2 linked regions of the Coturnix japonica genome follow. The protein of the gene in region 1 purifies or fractionates together with the protein of each later gene. This does not show direct contact. Links are inferred from orthologs where the notes say so. Each region holds a gene or a part of one and is shown on either strand. Other genes may lie near its edges.

What was found.
Region 2: the proteins of AKAP17A (region 1) and RNPS1 purify together in Homo sapiens (co-immunoprecipitation; 4 studies listed by BioGRID and IntAct, with this or other methods). This does not show direct contact. The link is inferred for Coturnix japonica from reciprocal best matches to the Homo sapiens genes AKAP17A and RNPS1.

The regions. Positions count from the first base shown.
Region 1 is NC_029516.1:116,242,508-116,246,609, reverse strand, and holds the start of AKAP17A (A-kinase anchor protein 17A), read left to right. Parts: upstream 1-1,302; 5' UTR 1,303-1,427; exon of another isoform or gene 1,428-1,592; 5' UTR 1,593-2,008; coding exon 2,009-2,770; intron 2,771-4,102. UniProt on the Homo sapiens protein: Splice factor regulating alternative splice site selection for certain mRNA precursors. Mediates regulation of pre-mRNA splicing in a PKA-dependent manner.
Region 2 is NC_029529.1:12,010,149-12,014,439, forward strand, and holds the start of RNPS1 (RNA-binding protein with serine-rich domain 1), read right to left. Parts: upstream 2,801-4,291; 5' UTR 2,618-2,800; coding exon 2,616-2,617; intron 1-2,615. UniProt on the Homo sapiens protein: Part of pre- and post-splicing multiprotein mRNP complexes. Auxiliary component of the splicing-dependent multiprotein exon junction complex (EJC) deposited at splice junction on mRNAs.

The DNA of each region.
Region 1 (4,102 bases):
CAGCCTCCAGCTGACAGTATGCAAGCTCTATGGAGACTGTCCAGCCCCATGTATGTGGCCTGGATATCTCACAGCATCCTAAATAACACTAGTTGTTTATACAAACAAATTCTGTCCTGTTGTTTTGTGATGTTTTTTCACAGACGTGACATTGAGTTGATTCTCAGGAAAACCACAAGCTGTCAGAAAGGTCAGAAAGCAGCAAGTGAAAGGTTGTCTTCCTTCGGAGGTGCTCCTCCTGCCTGGAGACATTAGTCAGAGCACTGTGATCAATGGCACAGAGCCTAGTTGTAGGCCTGTAACTAGTGGTATTCTCCACAAGTCAGTGCTGGGTCCAAGCTTGTACAACAGTTGTCAGCAATCTGGATGAATGGATAGTCTACCCTCAGAAAGTATAATGATGTAGAGCTGGGGGGAGTGGATGACACACTAGAAGGCTGTGCTGCCATTCAACCAGAGCTGGACAGGCTGCAGAGTTGGGCAGAGGAACCTGATGGGGTTCAACATGAGCAAGTGAATAGTCTTGCACCTAGGGAGGAATAACTGCATGCACCAGTACAGGACAGGATATGACCTGCTGGAAAGGAGCTCTGCAAAGAAGGACCTGGGTGTCCTGATGGACAATGTGCTGGCCTGGTGAGGGCACATCTGGAGTGCTGTGTTCAGTTGTGGGCTCCTCCATTCAAGAAAGACAGGGAGCTATTAGAGAGAGTCTAGTGGAGAGCAACAAAGATAACTGGTGCCTGGAGCATCTCCCTTATGAGAAAAGGTTGAGACTTGGGGTGTTTCACTCTGGAGAAGGTTCTGAGGGTGTCTCATCACTGTTCACCCGAAGTCCAGGAGTCAGGTCAGTGGAGGTAGAGTCTTTTTGGTGGCATGCAGCAATAGAAATAGACCCGGGCTGGAAGGGACCTCAAGGATCATGTAGTTCCAACCCCTCTGCCTGGCAGGGCCACCAAACATACACATTTACTAGATCAGGTTGCCCAGGGCCCCGTCCAACCTGGTCTTGAACACCTCCAAGGACGGGGCATCCACAACCTCCCTGGGCAGCCTGTTCCAGGGCCTGACCACTCTCCTAGTGAAGAACTTCCCCCTAACATCCAACCTAAATCTTCCCTCTTTTAACTTAAAACCATTTCCCCGTGGGTCCTTTCCAACCCCAACGATTCTATGACTATGCTCTGAGAGAGAACGCAGACATTGCGAACACAGCCCCGCACAGCCATCACTGCCCAGCTTCCACAGCCTCCGCCCGCTCCACATGCTCCACCTCCCGCTCCTCCTCGCTCCGCCGCCGCGCAGGCCGCCATCGCGCACGGCCAGGAAGCGGAAGCTGCTGTGGAAGCTGCGGCGGCTCCTCTGGGCTGCTCGCGGGGCTGGAGGCTGTTTCCTGGGGGTCCCACCCGGCCCGGCCCGGTCTGCGGGTGAGGCGGGGAGAGGGCGGGGAGCCGTGCCCCCGCCGGACTCTGTTGGGGTGCCGCTGGTGTCGACATTGGGAACGCTGTCGTAGTTCGTAGGGGTGAGGCTGCCGAGGGCCGGTGGCGGGGCTGCGGGCCTTTATGTAAAGGGGTGTTTTTGTGTCGTTGCAGGCTGCTGGCGAGGAGCCTTCCTGCCGGCGAACGAGGCACCCGCCGCTGCGCTCCTTGTTGTGGGTGCGTTTGTTGTTCGGAGCGGGCTGAGGTCGCTCCCGTTCCTTCCTCCCCGGAGCCGGGGGAGCTCGCCGGCTTCGTGTGTGCCCGAGATTGCCGTCAGCTCCTTTTCTTCTGAGGCCTTGCTGAGTTTTAATTATTTGTAGGTTCTGGTGGTTGTAAAGTAATTTAAGATGTTTGTGCTGCTCGGTTTTAACTCGGTAATTGACTCTTGTCTTAAGAGACGTTGGTTGGGAATGGTTAAATGTCCAAAGAATGTTTACGGATAAGGGCTGTTTTATTTGACTACTGTGAGCCTGCAACTTTAAACTTGCATCTTTATTTATTTTTTTCTTATCCTGTGCTTTTTCTGTGTTATGGCTGCTGCAACGATAGTTCATGATACATCAGAAGCCGTAGAGCTCTGTGCTCCCTGTGGGTTATACCTTAAACCCATTACAAAAATGACCATCAGTGTGGCACTTCCTCAGCTGAAACAACCCGGAAAGTCCATCTCGAACTGGGAAGTGATGGAAAGACTGAAAGGGATGGTACAAACCCATCAGTTTTCCACTCTGCGGATTTCCAAAAGCACGATGGATTTCATCCGGTTCGAAGGAGAGGTTGAAAACAAAAGTTTAGTCAAGTCTTTTCTTGCGTGCCTTGATGGAAAAACGATCAAACTGAGTGGCTTCTCCGACATCTTAAAAGTCCGTGCCGCAGAATACAAGATTGACTTTCCTACCAGGCACGACTGGGACTCGTTTTTCCGTGATGCAAAAGATATGAATGAAACTTTGCCAGGAGAAAGGCCGGATACCATTCATCTAGAAGGCTTACCTTGTAAGTGGTTTGCAGCAAAGGACTCTGGCTCAGAAAAGCCAAGTGAAGAAGTCCTGACAAAAGTTTTCCAGAAATTTGGAGAAATACGTAACGTGGACATACCCATGTTGGACCCTTACAGAGAAGAAATGACTGGCAGAAACTTTCACACATTCAGCTTCGGAGGCCATTTAAATTTTGAGGCTTACGTTCAGTATCGGGAGTATGCAGGCTTCATTAAAGCCATGAATGCCCTGCGAGGAATGAAACTGATGTTTAAAGGCGATGATGGCAAGGCTGTGGCTTGCAATATAAAGGTGAGAAGTTGTTGTCACTGATAAATGTGAATTCCGTAGTCCCCTGTATTCCATACAGTTGTTTACTGTAGTGCTGAGAACAGCTGATGTTACTGTAGGGTTTGAGGAACCAGCTGTAATGCAGTTTTAAAAGGGAAGTGATAGAATAAACATGTTGTTAGACTGTAAACAAAGCGGGGTGAGGCTTTTATCTCTCTTTTTTCCCCCCCTAAGCAAAACATTTACTGATGTAAAAACAGCTAAGGAACTACCAGATATTGTGAACATAACTTGTTAACTGAATTTTAGAAAGTAATGTATATTTTCAAGTCTTGTGATTTAGTTTATAAAATAATCTGTAGCAAGTTCAGACTCGCTAAGGCTGAATTGAAAGTGCATTTTCTTTTATGTATAGTAACAATTAGGAATTCTGGGAAGAGTGACAGCCGTTATATTTGATACCTCTGCTGATAAGGAGATCTATCTGTCAAGTGTCGGAACTGTGAGGCAATGCTATGTGGCCTGGATGGCCTGTGGAATAGAGAGTTAATAGTGATTAGTGTACTTTGTGAACAGAAAGGCCATTCAAACATTGAAACAATACTTAGCTTATTCCATACGTTTTCTGTGAATCCAGTGTGTTGTATTCATAATATTTACATACCGACTTCTCCAAATTGCTTTCTCTGTTACTTCATTGTCGTAGGAAGTAAAGTTATTGATGGGAGATGATGTGGAACAAGTCGGTCTCTCCAGATGTTATATCTGTGCAAGTATGGCTTAAGGAAAGCTTGTTGTGATATATTTGGGGACTTGTCTGTGTATTTACATAATGGTTGAATTGCTTATTTATTTCAGCACGCTTAATTTTCATTCATCAAGTCAGCAAGTAGATTTCGGGAAAAAGCTGAAGTATTTATGTAATTTGGGAGCATTCAAATATTAATTGATTAAGTTGTAAGTTAGACACTTATTATCTTGTTATTAAAGTTGGTCAGCTGAAGCACAGACATTGCTGTTCGTATGCCCTCCTATTCTCAAGGGGATGTGAAATTCAAACTGTCACTTGCATGCAGTGGATTGAGGTTCCCAAATTTAGTTTCTCTGTGCAAGAGAACGCATGCCTTCCTAGCAGCTGCCCTGGGATTGATAGCAAGAGAGAAGGCTGTGTCTGTGCTGTCAAGACAGATCGCTTTCATGCAAGGTCACCAGACTGCCCAACTCTGTTTCTACAGGGCTTTTATTGAAGCATTACTTTTATGTTGTCTGAACAAATTAAACTGCACAGTATGTATGCCTTGTTCTGTGCTCCATGGTTCGTGTCTTCCAAAGTACAGTGGCTTGTGTTACAGA
Region 2 (4,291 bases), on another chromosome or scaffold:
AAACACACTCAAACAAGGAACAGAACAGCAACACAAAACACTGAACTTTAAATGTAATTGAAGACACCAAAAGAGCAGAGTTAAAGCATTAGGTAAGTTCGAGCTTTTTAGGAAAAAGGAAAATGTGTTACATTGCAGAGTAGCAGCTTTGCGGACAGCAGGTCCAGCACACAGAACTTACTGTCATGTGTAAGTTCACCCACAGAGATATTTTCAACTCCTTACCCTCACTGGGAAAGCCCCAGTACCCTACAGCATCCCCGCTTCCAGCAGGCCTTGAAAATCTGGAATGATTACCTAGTGCTGGATTTTTTGTTATTTTCTTTAAGACCCAGCAAACTCTTCTTTTTAATTCCCATTAACTCTGTTTCCCCTTCAGAGGTATCCAAAGCAAAACAGGCCTCACTTGTGCCAAATCTCAGTTCTAACCCCTTGCTTCTGAGAAGTGACCCCTAATTGAAAGCAACAGAGCAGCCAAGTGACAAGGTAAGAGTGTTCAGAAACAAGATGAACAGACACAGAAGAGCAGAGCTGCTGTGCACCAGTGGCAGCACACCAGAGGACAAGTGTGTTCTCCAGGGCACTGCAGCCAGGCACAGCACTGCATGGCAGTTACATCCAGCCCCTGGGCCAGCTCAACCTTCATGGAATACAGACCTGTATGCGTGTTTAAAGTTACAAATTGTGATATTCACAGAAGTACAAAAGACCCTCGCTATGTGCTCCCCTTGAAGGCACACAGAGGACATTCATCTCCTACACACGGCACACATGCAGCTCCTGCCTCTTGACAACATCCTCATCTCCAGAGGAAGCTCTGGTTTCTTCCATAGTCACCCTGTGCAGCAAAGCACATGCTTGGCAGGAAGAGATGGCTGCTGAGTAACAATATAGGCTGGTTCATTGAGCAACAGAGATCAGTATATTAGTTTGAGGAGCAATATATTAATTCAGCAAAAGGAATCAATGAGCACTAGTCCTAAAACTCTCCACTTCTGCTTTGCCTGGTGTGTGATCAGCCTTGTTTTCTCTCAATTCCCCTTCATAAGCAGCACTGGAGTCACGACAGACCACTGGTCATTGTATTTCACCAGGGGCAAGGACGCTTTCCTTGGATTTCCACACACGTTGTTTTGGAAGTTGCCCATTATGGCCTAAGAAGCAATGGACGTTTGCAAAATTGGGGAAAACCAGCTCCAGGTGAATCAAAAATGTCAGTGATGGAACTGATGGTGGAAAAATGGGGACAAAGTAAGTGGGCATACAACCAGCAACCACCCTCAGTGTAACTGTGCATGCCCAGAGGAACACGAACATACATTAATGAGTTATTGGAAGAGAATGAACGTGTGTGCCAGTGTGCTGCATGTGTAACTATTAACTGTTTACATGTAAAACCTGAACTCTGACAGCTCAATTCCAAACATTTCCTATGAGAGGGCTGCATCTATCACATACTCTAATGATCACCCAGTTCCACCTCTCTGCAAGATGGGAAGTGAGAGCTCAGAAGCCCAACAAGTGCTTTGCTAATGTCCTGCCTGCTGCTGGAGAGCTGGGAAGAGCTGCATGTAAACAGCACCATCAGCAGCACTCCTGTGTGCACCCACAGGGCTGGCACTTACCAGACTAAACAGCCAAATGCTGCTTACACATCCAGCAACCTCCTGTGAAAGGCTGCTTTTAGGCAGCCCTTAAGGTAACCAGTGTTCTTCTTTCACCCAATGAACACAGACCTTTCCCAGGACAGTTTTAGTTGGAAAGATCAGCCTGGGAGATGCAGCCTCTGGGCACTTTCACTTGTAGGTGCTCAGGCATTCACTAAAACACACCTCCATAAAGAATAACACCGCAGCATGAGCACATTAAAACAACACAAGGAACTTCTAAGCAACATCCACCCTTCCAAGAATGGAAACCAAACCCGACATCCCCAACATCTCAGTGTCTGTGCAGCACCCAGCCCAGCCCAGCCGGCCTCGGGGCACTCTATTAAGCTGCCCATTCCCTGCACACAGTCAGCTATGAGACCTATTCTTACAGAGAGCTGCAGCCAAGGCAACGACCTGGGCTCTCCCTCAGCCTTCCTGCAGGGCAGGCGCGCCCTGCAACGGCAGCTTGTTTATAGTTATATGAACAACAACTATAGCAAAGTTTTCCTCGCGTGATTTAAGGTCAGCCCGCTCGGCAGCTCCTCTCAACGCCCCCGGCCCAGCTCATGGCAGCGCGGGGCCCAGAGCGGCCGGGGCTCAGCCGCTCTCAGGCTGCGGAACGACGCCGGGCACAGCGAGACCCGCGGGTCGCTCCCGACTCGCTGCTCTGCCGCTGCCGGGCGCCGGGACCACCAGGCCCCAACTCCGCTGCAGGCCTCAGCCCCGGCTCCGCCCCGGCCCGGCCTCCCGCCTTCCTCCCCGCCCCCGGTAGGCCGCGGCGCCATCCCTATCCCCCGCGTCCATCCATATCCCCTCCGTCGGCTCCCGCCCGCTCCCCTGGGCAGCCCCGAGATGCGGCGGTGCCGCCCCGAAGCGGCGGCGGGGCGGATGGAGGCGGATGGAGGCGGATGAAAGGCCGATGGCGGCCGATGGCCGCACGGCGCTCAGCCCCAACACACTCACATCCTCGGCGCTCTCAGCGCTCCGGGCCCGGCGCGCGCGATTGGCGCAGAACGAGCGGGAAGAGCGAACGTGTGGCGAGCAGTGATGACGTCACCAGGGGGGAGGAGGGGAGGTGGGCGCCTTAAAGGGGCCGGGCAGGGGATCCATGTTGTCCTGCTGTCACGGTCTGTGGGCGGCCCGTGCCGTTATGGGCACCGCCATGTCCGCCTCATCATGTCCGTGATGGCTCCTGACGAATGGTGACCTTCCCAATGCATAGCTGGCTCTCAGTGTCAGCAGCTGGACGTGAGCCTTTCCCTATTGCTCCAGCAGAGCACAGCAAGGGCTGAACTGGCTCTTAAAGGAAATAAGATCTCAGTGGGTGTGGGTGCAGCTTTGGAATGGCCACCAGCCCCCCAGAGAATACAACAGATGGAGGTTCAGCTGAGATGCTGCATGGGACAGCAGACCAAGTGCCAGCGCTTCTGGGGATGACACTGGGGTGGGAGAAGCGGATTTACGCTCATAGTTAATGATGTTTAATGGGCCACAGCACGAGGGGAAAGCTTTGAGCTCCCACTGCTTTGGGGGGTGTCGTGGTTTTGTACTTGTTGCTGTTGGTAATTCCACATCATGGCTGAGGTGACAGACACTGCACCACGTCCCACTGGTGACATGGGCACTGTGCGCAGCCAAGGCTGCGTGGAGGCGGCCAAGGTGCCACCAGGGACATGGAATGAGTGGGAGGGGACGTGGGGAGGTGAAGCACAGAGGCTCAGGTCAGCAGTTCCAGCAGGCAGGAGGCACTAAGAGCTCAGTGTTTATTGGTTTTGCTCCGATCACGCATGGTTCATACAAGGAACGGGCTGACTCTGCTGTGCACACAGACACGTGCTGCTGGAGGCTGCCTTGGGAAGACTTCCAGGCACCCTGAAGCAAGGCCAGGGTACCCAACTGCCGGTGCCTGGATGGCCATGGGAGGTGTGAGGTTGTTGGCTGTCCCCAGCCTGTGCCAGCACCCAGCTGTGCTGAGCTGTGCTCAGCCGTGTATGTGCTGCAGCAGAGGCATCTCTGAGCTCCTCCCTGTGTTCACAGGATCTTTTCATTTTACTGCTACTTCTACAGCGCAGGCTGCTGCGTGTGCTGCTTCTAAAGCTACTTCCGCAAGCAAGTCTAACATGCACTGCCCTCCTGAAGCTGGAGACTTCCGTGCTGCTTCCAGCAAAGCGCTTTCAGGGCTGCTGGCCTGTCCCTTGTAGGCTGAGAGATGTCAGGCATTTGCTGCTTGGGTGAGGGGTTATGTGCTCATCCGAGGGGCAAGGTGAAGTATTCAGGCTGGAGTTTGCAGCCCCAGTGAGGACACGCTTCCCACCCTTAGGATTAAATGTTGGGCCTTAGGAAGACTGGGTGAGCTGGGGCAGAGCTACAGGAGCTGCAGGCTGTGTGTGCTGCCAGGAGTCTGCCTGGAAGGGCAGCACCACTCACAGGGCGACCCTGGCAGCCATTGTCTGCTTAGAGGCTATTTCCAGCACCTTTATGCTGCTCATCTGCATCCATTCTAGATGAATCCCGAGGAAATCCTCACTATTTGTCCACTTCAGCTTTTTTCCTTCCCCCATTGCTGGCTGGAATGGCTGTCAACTGTGAGATCTGTAGGGGTGTTTTTTTCTATTTTTCCTGGCAGACTAAATTACTAA